2 linked regions of the Notamacropus eugenii genome follow. The protein of the gene in region 1 purifies or fractionates together with the protein of each later gene. This does not show direct contact. Links are inferred from orthologs where the notes say so. Each region holds a gene or a part of one and is shown on either strand. Other genes may lie near its edges.

Region 1 (7,408 bases):
CCACACAATTCTAGCGTCTGCCTGACTCAGGGAGGGTAGGACCAGACCCTTCTCCCCGCCATACCCCATCGCAGCTGGGAAGGGGCTCTCTCTCACCTTCTCTCATTGGAATTGATGCTTGTCTCACCAGCACATTCTATCTTGCGGCCAGCCTAGATGGGCTTGTGGTCTCAGTGCCCATCTTTCATGTCCCCCAGACTGAAGCCTCCTGAGAGTAGCAAGTGTTCTTTCTTGCACTTCTCTGTGTCTTTCTCAAAGACCCCCCAAAAGACTGTAAGTCCCTGCAGAAAGGGCAGCTGCTTCATTTGACTTCTCATTGTGCTGAACTTGGAGTCAAGGGTGTGGGTTCAAACCTGCCTTTCACACTTAACTGGAGGTAACTTCGGGCAGTCCCTCAACCTTTCTGAGCAGCAATTTCCTCATCTTCTCTAGTGGGGATGAAATTCACAGAGTTCTTTGTCAAAAGCTTTGCAAATCTGAATGGAATGTCACATAGCAACGTTACCCACTAGATTCTCGGTGGATCTTCCTCCAGGTTGCTCCCACTAGCCCTGGGTGCTCCCAGGATCTGTCCTGGACCCTCTTCTCTCCCTCTTGGCTGAGCTCATAAGATCCCAGGTGATCAATAATTCCCTGCTCAACAAACGAATACCGCAGACCCTGCCTTTCTCCTGAGTTCCTCATCACCCACTGCCCTGGGACATCTTATCTCAAAATCAACATATCCAAAACTGAGTTTATTACCTTCTCCCCCCAACCCTTCCCTCTATCAAATTTCACCATCACTCTCAAGGGCACTGCCATCCTCCCAGTCAACCAGCTTCACAACCACACAGCCATTCTTGACTCTTCTTTCTCATCCCTACCTATTCGCTCTGCTGACAAATCTTATAATTTCCTTCTCCACAATATCTCTCACATCCATCCTGTTCTGTCCACTCACAGGGTCACCTTGTCCCCTCTTACCTGGACTATGGCAATACCCTTCCAACTCAAACACAGGTGTCAATGGGATAATTCTAAAGTGTAGACCTAGCCACATGATGTGAAGACTCTCAAGAACTCCCAGTGGCTCCCTATTACCTCCAGAATCAATATAAAATACTCTATATGCCATTCAAAGCCCTTTACAACCTGGCCCCTTCCTTTCTCCCTTCTCCACACCAATGATCAAGACAGGCTGGCCCCTCACCGGCGCTGACCCACTCTCTCCATAGCTTTGTCTGGGCTGTTCCCTAGGCCTGGAATGCTCTCCCTATTGACTCTGCCTCCTACAATCCCTGGCTTCTTTTGAGAATCTGTCTAAGTGCCACCTCCTTCATGAAGACCCTAGCTGCTAGGGTTATCCTTTCTCAGGTGACCCTCCACTTCCTCCATATTTATCTGCCAGGGTCCAATTATATCTCTTGTCTCTCCCAGTTGAGTAGAAGCTCCTTGAGAACAGAACTGTTTGGCAGTTTTGTGTTAGCATGGTGCCTGGAATACAGTAGGCACTTGATAAATGCTTGTTCATTGATCTTGCTCACCCCCTTTCTTGCTTTTACTCAGTAACCCCCCGGAGGCCGGAGTTGCTTTGTTCACCTCTCCCCAGCCCAAGCCAGGGCTTTGCACCTAGTAGGGGCTTAGTCAACCTGTGCTGAACAGAAACCCCTTCAGTACTATGGTGTAGGTACAGCAGTGGGTTGGCCAGCAGTCTCTCTTGACAGGAAAATGGATTCCTCTTTCATTGGAAACCTTTCTACTCCCAGTTTTCTTCTCCAAGGAAACCCTGCCCCTCTCTGGGAGTAATGTTCCTGAGAATTTGCCTGAAGTGATTTCAGTGGGAGCTTTCTGTTCTCCCTACTGAGCAGGTGTCTCTGGGGCTTGGGCTTTTCACCTATACTCAGAATATCCTTAGAATCCCAAGAACAGACAATAAGGAAAAAAAGATTGCTCTGGCCAGCAAGGGGTCAGGGAATGGACACCACCACCAGGAGGGAGAGAATGGAGGATTAGATGGATGGGTAGGTGAATGGATGGACAGGCAGCTCACTCCTTGCCCTCCCAAATGAAACCAGGCCCAATTCCCTCTCCCCTGTCCTTAGTCAAGGCCACGACCACTTTTCAGGAAACTGAAAGAGAGAGAGGAAGGTCCAAGACCCCAAAACGGGACTGGGAGACAACACCAGTCCAATCAGAGCCCTTCCTTCTCTTCAGTCCCACCCCCACCCCCTTCAAGAACCACTATTCCCTGGCCATTTGTAAAGGCATCCTGGGCAGACTGGCTGCTGGGGAACTAGCTCCAGGACAGCAGGGAAAGCTCACCCAGCTGGGGCTCCAGTTTGAGCTCCCCTCCCTCCTCATAGCCCCTCACCAGGAGGCTGGCAGCCCAGCAGTGGGCCGCAGGTGCTGGGCCCTCTGGAGCTGGCCAGCTTCGCCCCCTAGGCGGGGGTGGGGGGAGGGTTACCGCTGGCTAAAGGCCTACAGCCCAGCTGCCAGGGTCCCACACGGTGGGCAGCGGTGTGAGGAAGGAGCCTGGCCAGGGTAGCGGTCCCTGGGGACAGTCCCCGGTCGGGGCTGGACGCAGAGGGCGCGGCGCAGACACTTACACAGTAAAGTGGTAGAGAAAGCATTTCCAGCCCGTGGGTCTCTCGAGGAAATTGTAGACGCGTCCCTGGACGTGGCTGCGGGCGAGCAGAGGGCGCCACACGCTGTAGACGGACATGCGCGGGTCCAGGTTGACCGTGGCAGGCGGTGATGGCGACGGTGACAGCGACGGCGGGGCCGGGGGGCCCCGGGACGACGGCGGGGCCGGGGGCGCTGCGGCCGGGGGAGGGATGGGCGCGTAGAGCGCGCCGGCCGCCGGGGTCACCTCGGCCAGCTCCGAGGGGAAGGCAGCCTTGGGGCTGAGGCTGAGCCCCAGGGGCCCGCTGGCCCGACGGCCCCAGCCCCAGCGCCGCCGCTCAGCCTGCGGTGGGGACCCGGCCGAGGACGCCATGGGGCTGGCCCGGGAGCCGCGGGACACTGGACGGCGGCGGCTCGGAGGGCACGGACGGAGGTAGGAAGGAGAGCGGCGCTCCCAGCTCCCCGCGCCAAGCGCTGCCGCCACGGCCGCTGCCCTGGAGACTGGGCTCCCACTCCCGAGGGGAGGCACCGACCGAGCCAGGGAGGCGGGAGCTGCCCATGCCCGCCGCCCGGGGCGGGGCTCGGGCTGCCTCCCCCGCCCCTTCTCACCCAAGAGCCCGTAACCCATACACCCCCAGCTCCCTGTCCCGCCCCTCCCCAAGCCCGCCGAGGGGGACCCGAGCCGTAGCCCAAGGGCGCCCCCTGGAACCCTGCCCTGCCCTCCCCGGGTACCCTTAATCCCCATCCTCAAAGCCCCTCTCCCCTACCCACTCACTGGGCACACGTACCCACACAAACAGCGACACCTGCTTCGTGGGCCCCTGGCCTCCTTGCCCCCACCCATGGGCTCCCCTGAGTCCCTCAAGCCTCTTTGCTCGGACCCCCAGTTCCCTCCCAGGGGCGGTGAGAAGCCCGGTCCCCGATCTTTCGACTGGTTGCGGCAGCAGGTGGGAAGCATCTACAGAGGCTGGGTGACAGAAATCAAGAACCCGCCTCTCTCCAACCTGGGGGCCATCTCGACCTTCGGGAGGCCCAGCCTTCCCCAGTAGGCGCCAGCCCCCGAACTGGCTCTTCCCAAGCACCGCTCCCTCCTTGGTGGTCTTCAGCCACAGGCCAAGCAGGCCCTAGCCCCGGTCCCTTTCCCTCCGAGCCTCCGGCTTCGATCCCACTTAGCCCCCAAAGAGGGAAGGGAGAAAGAAGGTCAGAGGGAGTATTCTTAGGGTCTTGGGGCCCAGGTCTACCTCCCTTCTGGCCTGGCTTTAGTCCTATCGAGGATCACAGGCTTAGGGCTGGAAAGAACCTCAGAGGCTAGTTCGAGAGGAAACTGGGGCCTACATCACACAAGTAATAAGTGTCCAAGGCGGGGTTTGAAACCAGGCTGTCTCCCTCCAAAATCAGTGCCCTGGAAGGGACATTTCACACCCCACTTTTATTCAGGAGATGGGGAGGCAGCAGGGCCCAAGAGCAGGGGTTTAAATTTGGGCTCTTGCAGATGCCCCATAAGAGACTAGAGGGCCCCTTGAGTCAGATGAGCCTTGACTGGAAATGAGCATCTCTGCTCTGCCCTCCCCTCTTATCTTCCTGGCTCTTTTCTACCCACAGACTCCCAAGGTCCCCTGACCCAGAAGTCCTGCCCTCACATAGACGTGTGCTCAGGTCTTTGGCTCTCCCTAGACCTTCCTACTGGAAGCCCTCTGGTGGCATCTGTCCTGGGTGCACCTGTCCCACTCCACTATCCCTTGGGGCTTAGTATTAGGTTCAGTTTCTGAGCAGGCCTCCTGCTGGTGCTCCCAACTAAATCACAAACCCCTCAGGCCCTGTGGGGTAGGAGGAGCTCAGAACCCCTCTTTGTGCCCTCAACCCTCTGGTGGAGTGAGTTGGTGCCACAAATATTTGTGGGGGAGGGAAAAGTTTCCAAAGTCACCCCTCCCTGTGACACTGGCATTTTACCATCCAAATGCCTATGTTTGGACGCTGGGGGTGCCAAAGGATGGATCTGTAGGAGCTTGGGATAGGAGTCCATTTGGAGAGTGGACAGGCCTCCTCAAAGACCTGAAGTTACATGGAGAAAGTGGGGGGTGTCACATAGAGAACTGTGCCTGGAATACACAGAAGAAAAAGTTCTCTTCAGGTCATGGACTTATACATGTGAAGCCAGAATGAAGTTCCATTAAGTTAAACTCCTTCATTTTACAGAGGGGGAAACTGAGGACCAGGGATATCAAATGACTTACCCAAAGTCACTAAGGATGTATGTATCTCAAGTGGGGATTTGAACCCAGGTCCTGTAAGAAAAATGTTGACCACAACATCTGAACCTATTTCCCTTTTAAAAAGTATTGATTACAAAAGAAGGTCATTGTGTAGGAGAGAGGGAAGAGATATATTCAGAAATGAATGAGATGTAAAAAACAAAGGCATCGGTCAAAATATGATAAAGATTTTTTAATCCCTAGCTTCTCTCAAGGCTCAGCCCAGGTACTGCCTCTTCCTATCCCCCATCCCAAGATGTGGGTCAGTAAGCTCAGAAAGGAGAGGATGGGGGGAAAGAACATGAGGTCAGTTTTGGACATGTTGAGCTGAAGACATCTACAAGACATCCAGATCAAGATGACCAGTAGGTACCTGGAGATGGAAAAAGGGTCAGGAAAGAGGCTGGATAAGTTGATTTGAGAGTTATCATAAAGATGGTAACTAAATGACAATGATTGCCTGATGAGATCGCCAAGTGAAGGAGGGAGAATAGAGGGAAAAGAGAAGAGGGCCCTAGACAGAGCCATGGGGGCACCTATGGATAAAGAGCATGATCCCAAGGAGGATCCATCTCAGGAGACATTCAAATGGGTTTGAATGATGACAGCTATGGGATCAAAATCATTGTGATAGGGTGGTGGGGATTGTTCATCCTTCATTCTCGGGCATGACCAGGAGGGAGTTTGTTAATCACTGAGGAAATACAGGTACTTTACCTTTCTAGATCTCACTTTACACCTTTGTAAAGTGAAGGCAATACTCCTCTACCACTCCAAATAAAGACGTGTTATAGGAAGCAAATGAAACAACATCGTGGAACTCTGGAACAGCAGAAGAAAGGCTCACTGTGATGACTATTCTAGAAACTAGATTTCCCTGGAAAACACCAGAGTCTCTCCATCTGGAAGGACCCTCACGCTGCCTGATAGGTGTGTGGGCAGAGATCTCCAAGGTCCCTCCCAGTTATCCCATTCTAAGTTCTGGTTTCTCCTCTCTGTTTGGACATTCTATGAATCACACCCAAGTGGACACTGCCATGGACCTACCATTTGCAAACCCTGACGTCCTCATCTCCAGGCTATAGCATTTCCCAGCTCCCTAGGGCCCAAGTGTGAGGCTCGGGAGGATGTTTGCTGTGAGAAATGTAGAGCAGAGAGATATCCAACAAACAACCTATCTGGGAAGCAGGTGATTGGAAAGGAAACGATTAATGAGAGAGCTTGGAACAATGAATGACCCTTTGCCTTCTTGGCTTCGATCACAGGCTGGAGGCTGTGTTTGGGACTCCCTCTGGAGGAGCAGACCCTTCATGCGCAGAACTCTCAAAGGTACATGAAGCCTGACCTGGTCCTCTGGGAACCCTAACTGTTAGGACTTGATTTGTACCTAATCTCTGCCCTTTCCTGCCTCTGCCTCTTTCCATCGTCCTCCAGATGCTCAAGGAACTGAGTAGTGGGAATGCTTGGCCTGGGAAGGAGTACCCAGGAGGCCTGAGGAATTCTGACTCTGCTAGTTGCAGCTGGCCACTCTACAACTAATAACCCCCACCCCCACCCCATAACTCATTAATGTTAATCATAAAGTCAAAGACCTTGGAGACCTTTGAGGCCAACTGTCCCATTTTAGAGACAGGAAAAATGAGGCCCAGAAGGGCCAAGTGACTTGCCCCAGCTTCCATAGGGATTAAGAGAAGAGGCAGCATTAGAATACAGGTGTTCTGTCTTCATAGACAATTCCCTTTTCTCCTGACAGTTCACAAATCCATCTCATGACAATCCCTTTGTGAAGTAGGAAGCTCAACTCTTTTCCTCATCAACTGATCAACTGATGAGGACACTGAGGCTGAGTGAAGAAGAGTCTCAACCACCGTTACCCTAGGAAGGAAGGGTCAGACACAATTCTGATGATGAAATCTAAGGACAAGTCACAGGAAGCCACTTGTCCAACCTAGATTGGTGCTGGGGGACAGAGGGCTTCAGTCACAGGGGGTCAGATCTGGCCAAGAGTGGTCATGGGTAACCCTGGAGCACAAACAGGTCACCCACTGTCCATTCCAGCCTACAGATACAGGTAGACTGAGGAGGAGATCAACACCCAGAGGTGACCCTCTGCTGTGTGCTAAGAAGTAATGCTAGGCCCTAGGAAGTGGATTGAGAGAGCAGCAGTGTGGTTCTGACTCCAGGGGAAGGAGGGGGGCATTCCCAGCAGGAATCTCAAGTCAAAGGGAATCTGGAAAGGACCCACACATACCAAAATATTTATAGCAACTCTTTTTGTGGTGACCAAGAATTGGAAATGGAGGGGATGCCCATCAATTGGGGAATGACTGAACAAGCTGTGATATGTGATTGTGAGGGAATATTATTGTTTCATAAGAAATGGTGAGCAGGCAGATTTAAGAAAAAACCTGGAAAGACTTACACAAACTAATGCTGATTGAAGTGGACAGAACCAGGAGAACACTGTACACAGTAACAGCCACATTACTCAGTGACCCACTTTGTAAGACTTAACTCATCTGAACAATGCTGTGATCTAAGACAATTCCAAA
Region 2 (7,822 bases), on another chromosome or scaffold:
CTTCTCATTTGTTTCAGTGTTGTAGCTAAAAGTCCATAACAGGCAGAAAATTAAAAATTTGTTTTAGATGCTTGCCGCAGTAGACACGTGTGGTTAGATGCATCTCCAGTTTATCATTGTTTTTGCCAGATTTTGTTTTATCTTTTGGCTATTTTTTGGTTGTTGTTTTGAACTCTTTACTTTTGAGTCACTGAAGGTGACATTTGTGTTTCTTGTAGGTAAATCCGTCCAATCATAGACTTCTGTTTGAAGTATTTGATGAAAACAGATTGGTAAGTTTCGACCGTCAACTCTCCACCATCCCTCTCCTCAAACGATGATCTTAATGTGAAAATTGCATCTTTTTTTTTTGGTGGTATACAAAAGTAAATTTGAATAATGTGTATATATGTATTTAGAATTTTTTTTTAATTGTTGGTTCTGGATCTCTGATTTTATCAGTGCAGAAAGTTGCCTGACATAGAAACTTCATCCACCAAAGCCAACGGTCAATTCATCTGTAATTTATAATCTTAAATAATTGTTTGGCTCACCGAAAGATTAAGTGACTTGTCTGCATCGTACAGATAGTATGTGCAGAGAAAAGACTTGGACCTAGATCACTCTGAATCTCAATGCATGCAACTTTCAATGACACTTTGTCTAGCCATCTACATTCATGTTAACATGTATGGTATGGGTCAGAGTAGTTTATGTAATAATATCCAGATATTTAAAAAATTTTAAATATTCCTCATCTATATTTGTGCTAATTATGTGGTAATGGCGCAGGAGAAGATTAAGGATATTTGTGTATGTGTGTGTTTTTTTCTCCCAGTAAGTAAAAATAAAACCCATTAATGCTCACATAAACTCTTTACGTGCTGAGATTTGGTACACAGAATGGTGATATAATTGTGTAAGGATTATTCATTATACGTAAACTAACTTTGTGGAATCCCAAAGTATACTTGTCCACATGGCTTTTCTTTGGGTAGTGTAGTTCAAGATATATCTAACAACTTGAAAAGAGGGATGGATTGTCCTAGGAGAGAAAAAAAAATTCATGACAGTTTTTAAAAAGTGTTTTTTTGTTGTTCAGTGGTTTTTTAGTCATGTCCAACTCTTTGTGACCCCATTTGGCATTACCTTGGCAGAGATACTGGAGTGCTTCGCCATTTCCTTCTCCAGCTCATTTTACAAACTAAAATAAACAGGGTTAAGTGACTTGCCCACAGTTGCACAGCTAATAAGCATCTGAGGCCAGGTTTGAACTCAGGAAGGTGAGTCTTTCCGGACTCCATCGCACCGCCTACCTGCCCCCAAAAGATGGTTAGTTGTCTTCAAAGTATAGAAGGAAAATTTCTATCTGGAATGCTTAATTAAAATAGTCTACAGATAAACATTAGGAAAAAAATGCAAAAAGAGGATCAGCTTTTCAATTTGAGATTTTGTTTCTTCATTTTGCTTAAATGAGGAAAATATATTATACAGCTAAGCAGACCCTTTATTAAAAGGGGAAAAAAAGATCATTATTACGTCTGTATCATCTATAGCAATCTCCACAATCATATAGCAGAAAAATCAGTTTACCAGGATTCAAATCTAACCACAGCAACTAACCAACTGTATGACCTTGGGCAAACTACTCAACCCAGGGTGGGGAGCCTGTGGCCTTAAGGCCACATGTGACCGTCTAAGTACTTGGGTGTGGCTTTTTGACCGAGTCCAAGTTTTACAGAACAAATCCTTTTATTAAGGAAATTTCTTCTGTGAAGTTTGGATTCAGTCAGAGGGCTGCACTTGAGGACCTAGAGGGCCACATGCGACCTTGAGGCCCCACGTTCTCCACCTCCAATGTCCTAACCTCTCTCTGCTTCAACTTCCTTATCTGGAAACTGGGGATAATAACAGCACCCACTTCCCAGGGATGTTATAAGGACAGAATGAGATAGTATTTGTTAAACATTTGGTAAACCTCAAAGAAGGCACTATAAAATGCTGCTGCTACCATTGGAACTGCTACTACTGCTGCTGCTACTACTACTACTCTTACCTACCACTACTACTACCACTACAACTGCTGCTAATTACTCCTCCTCCTCATCTTATTACTACTATTCTATCTTCCCCTCTTTCTCTACTCACTGTCCCCAAAATGTAGGTTCTTATTGTTTAGTACTTTCTTATGATTTTCAAACCAGAATAAAGTTTTACAGATTGATCCAGACAGAAGCAACTTTCTGTCCACCCATTCCCCTCCCCTGTTTGACAGATGAAGAAATAGAGTTGGTGACCACCAAGTTGGCAAAGGGTTTTGTCTCAGGTCACGCTGCTTTTTAGTCAAAGACAGAGGCAGTATTTAAGCCTAAGTCTTCTAGTTCTTGGGGGCAGTATTTCTTGACCATGCTGTTTTCTTGTATTTAAATTGATATGCACCTGCCCTGTCATTTTGACAATCAAATAATGTTCATTTTGTCTTCTTCAGTGATTAACGTTATTCCAGAAATCATCTCAGACAAGTTAGACTTTCTCATGTCTCTCAGGAGCTTTTAAAATATATATGGGTCCAGCGTTAGTGAATGTACCGTTTTACCTCCAAAACATTAGGAACTAGGAAATCTATAAAAACATTATATATAGTCATATAGCATATAAATAATGCTAATATTTTTATTGTCAGTGATCTAAATTCTGTTATTTATATACGCTTATTCTTAGAAATGGATGGGGGTTTATTTTGGAATGGGGGGTTGCTGTTTTCTGTGCTTTATTTGCACATAGGGAGGAAAAGTTAGATGGAAGAGACTGTATTAAATAGTGCCTTAAGAGAAGACAGAACCAACTTTAGTATACTAGATCTTGATAATTAAATGAGACGTAATACCTAGAAAGGAAATAAAGGATTTTTTTTTGGTTGAAATTAATTTTGCATTTAACATACAGTTTCTAGTCCAGAAGATTTCACTATGAAAATAAAAGAATTTCCCTTATTTCTTTATTTAACTATGCTACCTTTAAGATATTTTTTGTGTTCTGTCTCTTGCCCCTCAGGCATTCCTTGTTAGAAGGGTCTAAAATGCATAAGACGTGCTTGCCAAAGCACTGCTGCAGAAAGAATGCTTTTTCTGAAAATTATGTTTAATAATACTAACACCTGGGTTTGCACCAAGCTGTCTGCAGCACTGTTACTGTGTGACGAATAGCTGTGTTCTTTCTTGTTGGCGCGGAGGCCTGTTAAAGACAATATGGGATTGTGCTGGTGCTTGGCAGTTTTAGTGTTGAACAAGCCAGATTCCATTTTTTTCATAATTGGTCATCTTGGCATTTGGAAACATGCTGCTAGAAAACAGATTTGGATGTCTAAACATGGTGTTGGACTCCCCCCCAGCCCAAACCCACCCCCCTACACTATACCCATGATTCCAGATCTGTCGTCAAAACTATACTTTGGGATTTTAATAGAACCTTGTCTAGACCTTTTATTTGGGTTATATTCCTTTCCTACTCCAGGTCAACCTATACAATTGCTATTTCTGGTCTGTGAGAAAGAATTAACATGAAAGACAATCATAAATAATTCTTTTTAGAAGTGTTGTTTGGAGTGAATGAAATTGATGACTTTCTATGAATTTTAAAACCTTTCTATTTTGTGAAGCATTTTGGCTCTTAACAAGCATAAGAATATCCCATATGGGCATCCAAATTGCATTAATTTGGGGCAACATTGCCTCTGCATGGTATCTGTATGAAATTAATACAAATCTGTATATATATACCAACCTTTTTGGATTTTCTTCAGTCATTCCTACCTGGCATGTATGAGGGACGATATTTTCTCAAGCTGCGTTTTTATTGCTCTTTTACTTTCCTCTGGTGAGAATTCTCTTTGTAACCTTTTTTTTCCTATTGGTAGCTGTTAAAGAAAATGTTTCAGGGTAGTGGCAAGATTCATAGTATTAACTCCAGCAGTGTTTTAAATTGTCTCCCATCCCCCACATAGATATTTTCTTCCTTGTAGATCATAGTCTAATTATTTAGCGTTAAAGGGAGCTACTTCTGGGCAGTGTGTAATTATATTTATAGTATGTTTTTACTAGTTTGCATTCCACCATAGTAGTCTGTTGATGTCATACATAGCCCGGCAAAACAAACAAACAAACAAAAGGTGCTGCTTGTGAAAATCTGAGACCTATTTCTACTTTCTAAGTTGGTCTTTCTGAGGAGGTGGTGGGGATGTGGGAAGATGTGGGGTTGTTTTTTAATGGAAGGCACTTTGTGTTTTGGGAGAGTGTGCTGTGTGTGTGCGCGTGTGTGTGTGCGTGCGTGTGCGTGTGCGTGTGTATGTGTGGAAGCGTGCGCGCGCGTGTTGCTTAGTTCAGAAGTGCCCTGTGAATATGATGTGATTTAGATTAATAGTAGCCCTGAGAGTGTTTGCTGCTGTAGTCAGCTGTGAGAGCTCGCCCGCTGGGGCAATGCCTTTCTGATGGAAAAAGAGCAGCTGGGAAGGTGCTGTTTCAGGCTCTTACTGTTTAAAAGAGAGGGAGAGGGAGAGGGAGAGGGAGAAAAAAAAAAAAAAAAACCAGCCCAAGTCCAGAAGCTGGCATTGGAGAGGGAGAACAAGGTCATGTGGCTCTAACCATCCTACCCTCTGTCCCAGTGTGCAGAAGCTCCGATTCCTCTTATCCAATCATGCCTGGAATGCAGCTTGCCACTTGGGTTATTTCTGCTATCTGTCGCTATCGTTGGTGCAGTGCTAACAGTTTGGCAGATGGGACAATTTTTCTTGGAGTTTATGTCTTTGATTTTTAACTTCTGGCAGTGCTTGAATTGTTGTCTCCCTTCCTTTCCTGCCCTCCTGTTAAACCATGGCCCATCGGCTGCGGTTTCATTTTGGCTCTGGTCGAAGCAACACAGCCCCTGAATCAGAGATCCTAGATCGAGAGAGAGAAGACGACTTTTTTATGGCATTCCACACTTTGCCAAGGAGAAACAGTCCTCACCCATTCTCTCAAAATGGAGCAGAGTATGGTGGCGGTAGCCTACAAGAAGTTGGATCTCTCAAACGAAGCACATCCATGTTTATCCCTCAGCTGCTGAATAACATTGATGCCCGTCCAACAAGGAGCTCATCTGTGCAAATCTCCCTGCAGCGCAAAGCTGTGAACGGACATACTGATGAGTGCGGGGCACCAGATTCTCTTGATGAGGACCTTCCCTATAAATTTTCAGACCTTAGGGAGAATTTTACTGCACCAGTAAGTAGACCTTCTTCATCCCAAAGCAGCTCCCAAGAAACTTCAGAAAGAGAATCCCCCAGTAATTCTCCACCAAGGTTGGTCAATGATTTAGGACAACAGGTCAATGGATCTAATAATACTTGCAGTCACAGAGTGTTTTGTACTGTTCCTTCAGATAACCAAGGTGATGCTGTCCCCTCAGTTGCCCAGGGTGTAGAAGGCAATGAAAATGCTTCAGGTTCCAACATAACTGGAGTGAGAATTCAGCATCGTGCTTCGAGCGCAGATATGCGTCAGGTTAGACTCTTGCCCTTTGGATCAGAGGTTCAGAACAACCCTTCTGCTCCTGAGCCCAGGCGTTGGTCTTTGCAACATGTGCCAGATGTATCTGCTAGTTCTGGGAAAAGGTGTTTTGTTTTCCAGTTGCAACAACCCCAAGCAAGCACTCCAAGCCTTGGTGGTGATTTCAATTTTGGATTTACTGGAACAAAGGGGGACAGGTTGGTCAGGTATCCAAGAATAAGGCTAGAGAGGAGTACCTCCTATCCAGTCCAACCTCGACCTGAACGAGTCAGCCCAATGGAAGACAGGGTGAATTCAGAACCTCCTAACAATGGGAGGAATTGTCCTGAAATACAAAGGAGTAACTCCATAGAAAGGATTCCACAGAATAAGGGCTGCACTTTTAAGATCAGGCAAGATCAGAATTCCCGACAACAACACTTTAGAATTCTTGTTACTCGTGGTCATGAAGAACCTCACCAGACTCTTGAAGAGAATAGTTCAGACACACCTGCTTCTACTGCAGCAAACACTCTGGTAAGTTGGCCATCGAATGTGCCATGTTCCTATTTGAACATTAGACAAAAATAATGGGTTCAAATTGGGAATTTTTTTTTTTTTGTATTACAGCTAAAAGAAACTTTCTTCTATAACATTTGAAATTTTCCTATTCAAAGAACCTGGTTACCTATAATTTCTAACCTCAAGTCATGTTGCTCTTATGTTCTTGATATGTATCTGTGGGTCCAGTACTTGGTTGGAATCATAACGTTATAATAAGACTGACTGATGTTTTGCAAGAAAATACTTACCAGTTAAAAAGTTTTGTTCCTTATAAATCTTCAAAGGCCCTTAGCTGACTTTATGTTTGAAGCAAATATAGCCATGTTCTCAATTTGGTGAAATATAATGATTTCCCTTTGTCAGTGCTCAAAAAGCAAGTCCATTCTCACTTCATCCCTCCCACCCCAAAATAAACTTAAGCCAAAAATCAAACCTAGCCAAAGAACACGTGCTAATGTTGGAAAATCCATAAGGAACCTATTTGCAGGTTCATCCTGTGCTGGGCCTTTTTATCAAAAGTAATCTGTGCTTGAAAGTGTTAGGAAATAGGGAAATAATGACGTAGTTTGTCTTAACTAATTAAAATGTTTACATTAATACATGTCCCAAAGTTCTTTTCTGCTGTGTTAGGAGTCAGTCTAGTTCAGATACTTTTGTCTGCTTTGATTAATTAAGAAGTGTACTCCACATGAATAGTGATGCAGTACATGTGATATGTTACTTATTTTTGAAGCGAAATAACTTTTTGGACCAAGCATGGGTAAAACTTTTATGGGGAATCATTAATTCTCAGGTTGCATTACAGTGCAATTTAACACTGCCCACTTGAGACTCCAGGCTCAGTGATGCTGTATATAGCATAGTAAGTGCCCTATCTCCAGCTGTGAAAACAGACTCACTCTCACAGACTCTGGTCTTTGCTGCTTGTGTGTGTTCCTCTTCTCCTAGGCTCTCCCTTTCAGTGAAATGTAGCACAGAAAGACAGCTGCTTACTTCACCCAGCCATATGATGACTCTGCAGCTCTCATACTTTCTATCTGGCTGAGCAAGTGATATGGAAACTTGAATCAGATTGATTTCTTTTGTTTATAACCACTAGATTTAAGTGCTTTCTAAAAGAATTCATTCCCTGTGTTTTCCATTATTGTTAGTATTATTTTGTCTTGGAGCATCATGTAGCATCCTTACTTTACTAAAAAGCTTATGTTTCTGATGGTATGTATGTGTGTATATATGTATGTACGCACATAACACTGTATATATATACATGTATGTATACCCATGTACACACATATGTGTATACATATGCATGCAGATATATATATATGTTTTGCACTGTTTTGCTCTATAGGTGATGCTTACTTTCTATTTTATGTGGGAGTTGTGATGATCTGTAACATTAGCTTCATAAATAATTATTAGACTGGTTGATATCCCAGCTCTACTACTAAGTTCACTATGCCACTTTTTCAAGGGTGCAGTAAATGCTTTCTCCTGGATGACTTTATTCAACTCCCCATCTTTGCTCTTTTCTCTCTCAGTCCACCCCACTCCCTTCCTTTTTTACATATCTTTAACCCCTTTCCAGTAAACAGCTGTGGGTTTCATCATTGCTTTAGCCTAAGGCTATCCCTCATAAAGTAGTAGAATAATCCCACAGAAAGGGTTAGGAGGCTGCTGACATTTTAGAAGTATTATCCCCAGATATGAATGTGTCAGTGTGAGTTCAAATCCTTCATTGTTTACAATCACTGTCT

The links. The genes of interacting proteins can lie anywhere in the genome.
Region 2: the proteins of KCNQ1 (region 1) and NEDD4L purify together in Homo sapiens (affinity purification with western blotting, with the first as the bait; 3 studies listed by BioGRID). This does not show direct contact. The link is inferred for Notamacropus eugenii from reciprocal best matches to the Homo sapiens genes KCNQ1 and NEDD4L.

What each region holds. Positions count from the first base shown.
Region 1 is NC_092873.1:25,399,514-25,406,921, forward strand, and holds the start of KCNQ1 (potassium voltage-gated channel subfamily KQT member 1), read right to left. Parts: upstream 3,091-7,408; 5' UTR 2,978-3,090; coding exon 2,589-2,977; intron 1-2,588. UniProt on the Homo sapiens protein: Pore-forming subunit of the voltage-gated potassium (Kv) channel involved in the regulation of cardiomyocyte excitability and important in normal development and functions of myocardium, inner ear, stomach and colon.
Region 2 is NC_092875.1:431,905,929-431,913,750, reverse strand, and holds the start of NEDD4L (E3 ubiquitin-protein ligase NEDD4-like), read left to right. Parts: upstream 1-4,753; 5' UTR 4,754-4,847; coding exon 4,848-6,038; intron 6,039-7,822. UniProt on the Homo sapiens protein: E3 ubiquitin-protein ligase that mediates the polyubiquitination of lysine and cysteine residues on target proteins and is thereby implicated in the regulation of various signaling pathways including autophagy, innate immunity or DNA repair.